Daphnia pulex: one gene and its partner. The protein of the gene in region 1 purifies or fractionates together with the protein of each later gene. This does not show direct contact. Links are inferred from orthologs where the notes say so. Each region holds a gene or a part of one and is shown in the gene's direction. Other genes may lie near its edges.

What was found. The genes of interacting proteins can lie anywhere in the genome.
Region 2: the proteins of Golgi phosphoprotein 3 homolog sauron-like (region 1) and ras-related protein Rab-1A purify together in Drosophila melanogaster (affinity purification with western blotting; 3 studies listed by BioGRID, with this or other methods). This does not show direct contact. The link is inferred for Daphnia pulex from reciprocal best matches to the Drosophila melanogaster genes sau and Rab1.

What each region holds. Positions count from the first base shown.
Region 1 is NC_060019.1:8,788,651-8,792,404, reverse strand, and holds Golgi phosphoprotein 3 homolog sauron-like, read left to right. Parts: upstream 1-831; 5' UTR 832-1,504; intron 1,505-1,729; 5' UTR 1,730-1,743; coding exon 1,744-1,947; intron 1,948-2,017; coding exon 2,018-2,264; intron 2,265-2,329; coding exon 2,330-2,505; intron 2,506-2,578; coding exon 2,579-2,827; 3' UTR 2,828-3,708; downstream 3,709-3,754. UniProt on the Drosophila melanogaster protein: Phosphatidylinositol-4-phosphate-binding protein that links Golgi membranes to the cytoskeleton and may participate in the tensile force required for vesicle budding from the Golgi.
Region 2 is NC_060025.1:1,302,560-1,306,313, forward strand, and holds ras-related protein Rab-1A, read left to right. Parts: upstream 1-1,332; 5' UTR 1,333-1,520; coding exon 1,521-1,534; intron 1,535-1,860; coding exon 1,861-1,933; intron 1,934-2,006; coding exon 2,007-2,054; intron 2,055-2,119; coding exon 2,120-2,167; intron 2,168-2,229; coding exon 2,230-2,457; intron 2,458-2,532; coding exon 2,533-2,733; 3' UTR 2,734-3,310; downstream 3,311-3,754. Other genes in the region: transmembrane protein 179-like, read left to right, coding at 36-82, 154-283, 344-472, 533-617, 678-790, 865-928; out at first protein-like, read right to left, coding at 3,566-3,716.

The sequences.
Region 1 (3,754 bases):
GCCGTTGCTGCTGAGAAGATCGTGACGAAATCCGGATGCGTTTTCACACAAACTCCTCGGCAGTAATTATTATCGGATTAGCTGCCTGCAAGTTGGCTGGCTAGTTAGGTGCCCACGAAAAGTGACCCATTATCGCTCTTACTACTGCAGAGATATGACCAATTTAGTTGCTGGTTTCACCGTTGCTTGAGCCAAATTGTGTTACACAACTTGTAACAAGATAAGCAAAATATTTGCTGACTTTCTACGGATTTTTTAAAAGGATCAGAAAATGGCCAAATATTTACACACATCTTTCGGTTGATATTAGTAGACTAGGCAACGGGGCTACCAGATGTAGAACGTGACTGATTTTTCCGCTTCAACATGTTTACATGTATAGAGTGAATTATTAAGCGCAGGTAAAAATAGGTGCTGATGTAATGCGTCAAACGATCCTGTCATACTGATATACTATTGCGATGTATGGAAATAAATGTTGATTCTTGGAAATCGAGTTTTCATTGCGGAATATAATTACAAATCAATTTTTCATTCGTCGGTAAAAAATTTCGATTTTCTTCCTACACGTCGGATGAAATGGACAAGCGTGTTGTCCATTACAGATTCATTTTTGATTCCCCAATTTAAACTTTGTTAGATTGAACCTGGTATAAGGTCCTGTTACATCCAAATAAGTTTTTTATCTGATTTATCTAGACTTATACCTTTATCTGAATCGAGTTCGAGGCGGATTTCCCCATCGGAATTTTTTAATTGGTAGGTATAAAGCTGCCACCTATCAATTGAAATTGAAACTAGCAAGGAAAACAACTATTTTTCCTTTGATAAAATAAAAATCGTCATTTATGTTTCATCGCAAATATCGGGTCAAATATTGCAACACATTTCTATCTACATTTTCCCATTGACACAAATTAATGTTGTCATAGTTACGATCCGGACGGGAAAGATAATTTTTTTTTAAGGGCTTATGTGTATGAATGTCCAGTGACGGACTGATTGACGAGGGTTATATTTACACAAGATAACAATTCTTTCGAAAGAAAATCGCCTAAACCTTTGCACTACCATAACTGTCATAATTTTCCCGTTTTTTTCTGTGCTTACGTTTACACAATTCACCAAATACGAATCGCGTACCGTGGGAAATACCTTCTGGTTTTTTTCATTTTTGAATTTTTTTACGCCACGTCGCAACTTGCAAGCAGCAGGCTTGTTGCCTTGACGACCAGGCAAAAATCGACGTTTTTACAGAGAGAACCCTACCTGCTTGCCAAAGATTATACGTGTACAAAAGTTCTTCTATACGTGTAAGAAGGCATAGACGAGCCTCCGAATGTCAACAAACTCATCAGCCAGAACGAAGTTACAACTGTAGTGCCCTTTTCATAGTTTAGTTTCCTTCTTCTTGAGTTCTTGAGTTTGTTTTTCGTTGTCTGCGACTGATGAGACGTCGAGCGTATTGCCACAAAGCCAGTATTATTCTTTCACAAGTGCACAGGTCAGATTACCTCCTCTACTTAACAAAGTAGCTCATTACTCTTCAAATAGATACAGTTCAGTTCTTTTGACTAGAATAATTTCCCCAAAAAAAGGATCAAGTCATTATTATTTCATTACATCCAAATGTCAAACTCAAAGTGTATTCATTTGGCATTTAATCATTCATAGTTTGGTGCTTTCTGGAGTGGTTGTTCTCACTTCTCACAGTTCTTTCTGGTTACAGGTTTTGATAGAAAAATGAATCGTGAAGGGGTTGTTCAAAGGAGGACTGCTCGTGTGGGGACTGGTGGCGGAGGACCTGTTGAGATATCGTCAGGTCCAGCTGATGTTGAAGACCGCCGTACAAGTAATGATACAGATGATATGGATGATTTGGATTCCAAAGAAACAAGACTCACCTTGATGGAAGAAGTGTTATTATTGGGCCTCAAAGATAAAGAGGTATACATAATATTTATTGTGTCATACTTGGTCCATTTCCCCCCTAAATTTAATTTTTTTAACTTTACAGGGCTATACTTCATTCTGGAATGATTGCATATCTAGTGGTCTTCGTGGATGCATATTGATTGAGTTAGGCCTACGTGGTAGAGTTGAACTAGAGAAAGGAGGAATGAGGAAACGATCCCTATTGGGGAGAAAAATTCTACTCAAGAATGACTCACCTACTGGAGATGTTCTCCTAGATGAGGCACTCAAGCATGTCAAGGAAACAGATCCCCCTGAGACGGTACAGAATTGGATAGAATACCTCAGTGGTGAGTGTCATTTGTTTAATCCTCCAACTTTAGAATTTTTCATTGATTTTCAAATATTTTTACAGGAGAAACATGGAATCCCTTGAAACTAAGATATCAACTGAAAAACGTCCGGGAACGCCTGGCCAAAAATTTGGTGGAGAAGGGAGTATTAACGACAGAGAAACAGAATTTTCTCTTGTTTGATATGACCACTCATCCTCTCACGGACAATATCATGAAAACTCGTCTTGTCAAAAAGGTGTGACGTCTTCACATTCTCAAAGCCAGCCATATCATTAAACCTTTTGTTCCTTTGACCAAACCATCTACAGGTACAAGAAGCAGTCTTATCCAAGTGGGTAAACGACGCTCATCGAATGGACAAACGCATGCTGTCACTCATCTTCCTGGCTCACGCCTCTGACGTGTTAGAGAATGCCTTTGCCCCATTAAACGACGACGACTACGAGCTGGCCATGAAACGGGTTCGTGAACTCCTCTACCTTGACTTGGACAACGAGAGTGCAAAACCTGGAACCAATGAGTTGATGTGGGCTGTTTTTGCTTCCTTTACCAAATGATAACGTTATTATTGTTACTAATATTGTATTGCTATCCCTTTCGTACACTCCTATCCCTTCCCATATCATTTATTTTTCTTATTTTCTTTGCCTATCCCCTTTCTTTTGATCCTTATTTAGTTTCTTTCTTTTTTTGTTCCGCGTCTCCATTATTTTTCCCGTTTTTTAAGCTACTGGCCATCGAAAAAAATAACCCTACCTTTGTATACCTACATAGCTGCAGCCAGGCTAGATTTTCCAATTCATTCCTTCTTTCAAACCATTTTTCAGTTATTACTAGCCCCTCCTTCTTTTTTTAACAATATTTAGAATATCCTACGAGTGTTATTAATTTTCTCCATTTTGAGTGTGCGTTGGGAAGCCTCGATTTATCTAAAAATCATTTCCAAAATTACCGATCACGCTCACAGTGCACTTGTTTCCTCTTTAATTCAAGTTTTCTTTAAATGGTGAAAGGGAAAATATTCATTTAACGAAACCACTATTATTATTATATAGCGAACTCTCATGATTTAACGTGGGTTGAAACGTGGAGGAAAGTGGGCAGAGGAGAGAGACGTTTTTGTTACAATTCTGGGGAAATCCCGTTGTGGTATGTATTGTAAATATACCTTCCATCGGGAGCGCAGCGCGCCATCTTTAAAAATACAACAATATAAATGAAATGAAAAATATGTAACCTGCAAACTGTGAAATGATTTGCGGATTGCGACCCTCAAAAATTCATTTGGATATGTGTGTTTAACAACTCCCTTTAATCGGCTAATGCTATATATTAGGTACTATATTATGTGGGAGAACGTGTATAACATGTTTTATTTCATTACTGCATGTACACACTATTGGTAGTTTGAATAAAAAAATCAGGAATTCGGATGCAACATGTGGTAGATTTTTATTGTCTTTTGTTCCTTCTTTACAGGTAAA
Region 2 (3,754 bases), on another chromosome or scaffold:
TTTTTCTGAAAACATTTTGTTTTTCTTTTAATCAGGGGTCATTGTTTGCTGTTTTCCAGAGGAACTTGGAGGGAAACTGATGGTTGAACTTAAATAATGTAATTAGCGAAAAATTCAAAACTATAATGATTTTTGTTTTGAATTGAATTGCAGGCCAGTTTGTGATCACATGGGCTCCTAATGCTTACTGTGTGTTTGTTATAATATCTGGAGTGATCTCACTTACAGCTTGTTGTATTCAAATTCACAGACTTGGCCATTTCCTTTATAGAGGGCTTGACAGGTTAGTCTTTTAAAATATGGTCATCATACTTGCAATAAAATACCTCTTTATTATTTACAGCTCTTTCTTGTCAGCATTTGTTGATGCTGTTGGCAGTGCCTTTCTCTGTTTTCTTTCTTTAGCATCTGCCATGATTATCACTCTTGGATTTGGCACTTGGTGCGGAGACATAACCCAACGATTTGAAGAGTAAAGAGTTTGTCTCATAATAACAATAAATATCAACCACATACTTTTATAAAATCACAGATGCAGTTATGCTGAAGATGAAAATATCGACCAAGTGGATAATATCAACACCTCTGGATTTTACTTGTTGTTGGGAACTGCACAGGTTTTTTTTCCTTTAATTTTCATTAAAGAGATGAATAATAATAATCAGTTGATTTTATAGTTTGGAGCTTGGGCCTCCTGGGCATGTTGGGTGGGATTGGCTGTCTGTGCAGTTCTTAAGTTATGTCGTTATCACCAACGAGAAAATATTCGAGTCAGCATGGCAAAAGAGCGGTATGTCAATTAATTTTAATCGTGTTCGGAAATTTTTTTATAAAAGAGATGTTTTTGTTGTTGTTTTCTTTTAGGAGACGTTTGTTGACAGATGGACTTCCACCGCGAAGCTCTAGCGACGAAGCGATGCTCGGTTAAAAAGTTTATAATTTGTACATTGTCCGTTTCCTTCGCAAAGCTATGTATTGGCTTATGAATCTTCTTTTTACCTCTCAATAAATGTATCAGAATATATCCCCTTGCAACGTAAAACGTAATTAATAATAATACGTGTTGTTATATCATATGCACCGGCTGCACCGCCGATTGTAGAAAAAGCGAAATAAATCACATTAACATCACTTTTTTTTTCGTAATAATACCTTTGATTCTTTCCCTCTACAAATGATGTCCGCCCAACCAACAGTTCATTATGACTTAATTTTTTCCTGATCACGTGAAGCTTGATATATCGTGAACGAAATAATTATTTTTTATTTTTCCGTGAAAAGCGACGTGAAAGTCATACCGAAATCGATTATAATCTTCTATATCGATAGTGGATGGTATCGATTATAACTGCTTAGGTTAAGCAACTTTTAACACAAGGAGGCGTAGAGGAGTTTGCTGTTCGTCATATTCAGAGAAAAAAGGGGCTGCTGTCCGTCGTTAATTCAGTCTCGTTCACTATTACATCTCCGCGCAAAATTTCATTTTGATCGAGTACATTAAGTGATCATATACGTCCAAAATGAACCCCGAATAGTAAGTACATCGTTACAAGTGCCAAACCCTTTTCGTCGTTCAGATCAACGTTCGAACGATTCAGTATGATGACGTATAGCTTTTTGGGGGCTTTCGTAAGTGCTAATCCCATGCAAATTCCAGCCATTTTAAACAACTTGCTGTTTGCTCTTGGTTATTTTTTTTTAATTCTTAAAATGTAATTTCTGTAAATTTTTATAGTCTACATGTTTTCAAGGCTGATTTCACTGTTAAGGAAATGCCCCATACCACCCTACCAACAATGGCTTACAATAGTTGGGTGTCATCAGTGGTTTAACAGTATTATTTTTCTTTTTTCTTTACAGTGATTATCTTTTCAAACTTCTCCTTATTGGTGATTCTGGTGTTGGCAAATCTTGCCTTTTGCTCCGATTCGCTGTAAGTCAGAAACTGGTGGTCATTTATTTTATTAATATTTGTTTTACTATTCAATGTTTCTCTTTTAATACAGGATGATACTTATTCAGAGAGTTATATCAGTACCATCGGTGTTGATTTTGTAAGTTTATTAACTCATACCAGTCAGACTCAGTCCATAATGTTAATTTGATTTGCAATATGCAGAAAATTCGGACAATAGATTTGGATGGAAAGACAATCAAACTACAGATCGTAAGTGACACATTCATAGCATTGGTCCTTTTCAAATGTAACTAAAATATTCTTGACTACAGTGGGACACTGCTGGCCAAGAACGATTCAGGACAATTACGTCGAGTTACTACCGAGGTGCCCATGGTATCATTGTCGTCTACGACTGTACTGACCAAGAGTCGTTCAACAATGTGAAACAGTGGCTCCAGGAAATCGATCGCTATGCATGCGAAAACGTCAACAAGCTCTTGGTTGGTAACAAATGTGACCTGAGCACCAAAAAGGTCGTCGATTACGCCGCAGCCAAAGTGAGATAACTTACAGTAGGAAGCTGGTTTAGATTTCATTTAAAACTTGACGTCGTTCTCTTGATTTTGTAAAAGGAATACGCGGAACAGTTAGGTATCCCTTTCCTAGAGACGTCGGCAAAGAATGCTACGAATGTTGAACAGGCCTTCATGACTATGGCGGCTGAAATCAAGAATCGAATGGGTCCTCCTTCCGCTCCTTCGGATGGTGTTGGCGGAATCAACATCAACTCTTCTTCAAGACCAGTGGAACAGTCGAAATCGGGATGTTGTTAATGGATTAAGAAAAAAGGAAAAAAAATTCAAGAGATCCAACGTTTAATAACAACAAAATTCGCAACCTCCCCTTTTCTCCCTATTTCCCGTTTCTTGGCCTCCAACCAAAGTCTAAAAGTTAAACAAAAAAAAAAATTTACCAATTTTCTTTCTTTTTTCCTATCTCTCTCAAGCTGCATTGATCGATTTGTTACCCCAACCGTATCTATTCTTGCACCCACGAGAGAATAAGAAAAAAAAAAAAAACAATCTAAATAGTGTCGTGTTTGATCTAGGTCCGAAATATTTTTTTCCAGCTGGAAAGGGTTGATTTTTTTCTATCACTATTTTTAAAAAATGCCAACTCCTCCCTCCTTCTTCGTGTAAACAGCTTGTACGCGCCTGTTTGTCGCTGTTATTTTGGGGAAATATTGGATTAATTAAAAAGAAAACACTAAATTAAGCAAGAATCGATTGTAAAGAGAAGTTTCAGTTTCGGTGAAAGAAAGATTTTCTTTTTCTTTTTTTGCTCGTCATTCCATTTAGATCCATTTTCGTATCAATTTGCGATTATTATACACAATGAGTTGAATTGAAATTTTTTTTATTTTTGCAGTAAAATTGGCTTTTCAAATTAATATTCTCTCCAACGCAAAAGGAACCATGGGGGAAAAGTAAGTAAATTACAAAGCAGATAGGAAAGTGTACACATGTGTGCATCAACGGACAGTGCTGGAAGACTGGAACACGCACAATTGGCTCTTGATTCTATCTTGTAAAATAGTTAAAAAGCTTCACGAGGCACTTTGATCAATACTTCAATTTTTCCCGAAAAGGAATTTTAAGTGTTTGGTTAATAGTCATCCCACGGACAAAATAGAAAGTTCTTCACTGGAAATGAATAGTCGAGGCACTTTTTGCACGTTTTGATGCCGCACCGATAGCTGAGGGCCTTACCGGTTTGCTGATCGTGCCCGCGACAAAATTTCAGTCCACAAGGATACCTATGTGATAATAGCAGGTGAATTAGGACTAAAAAGTT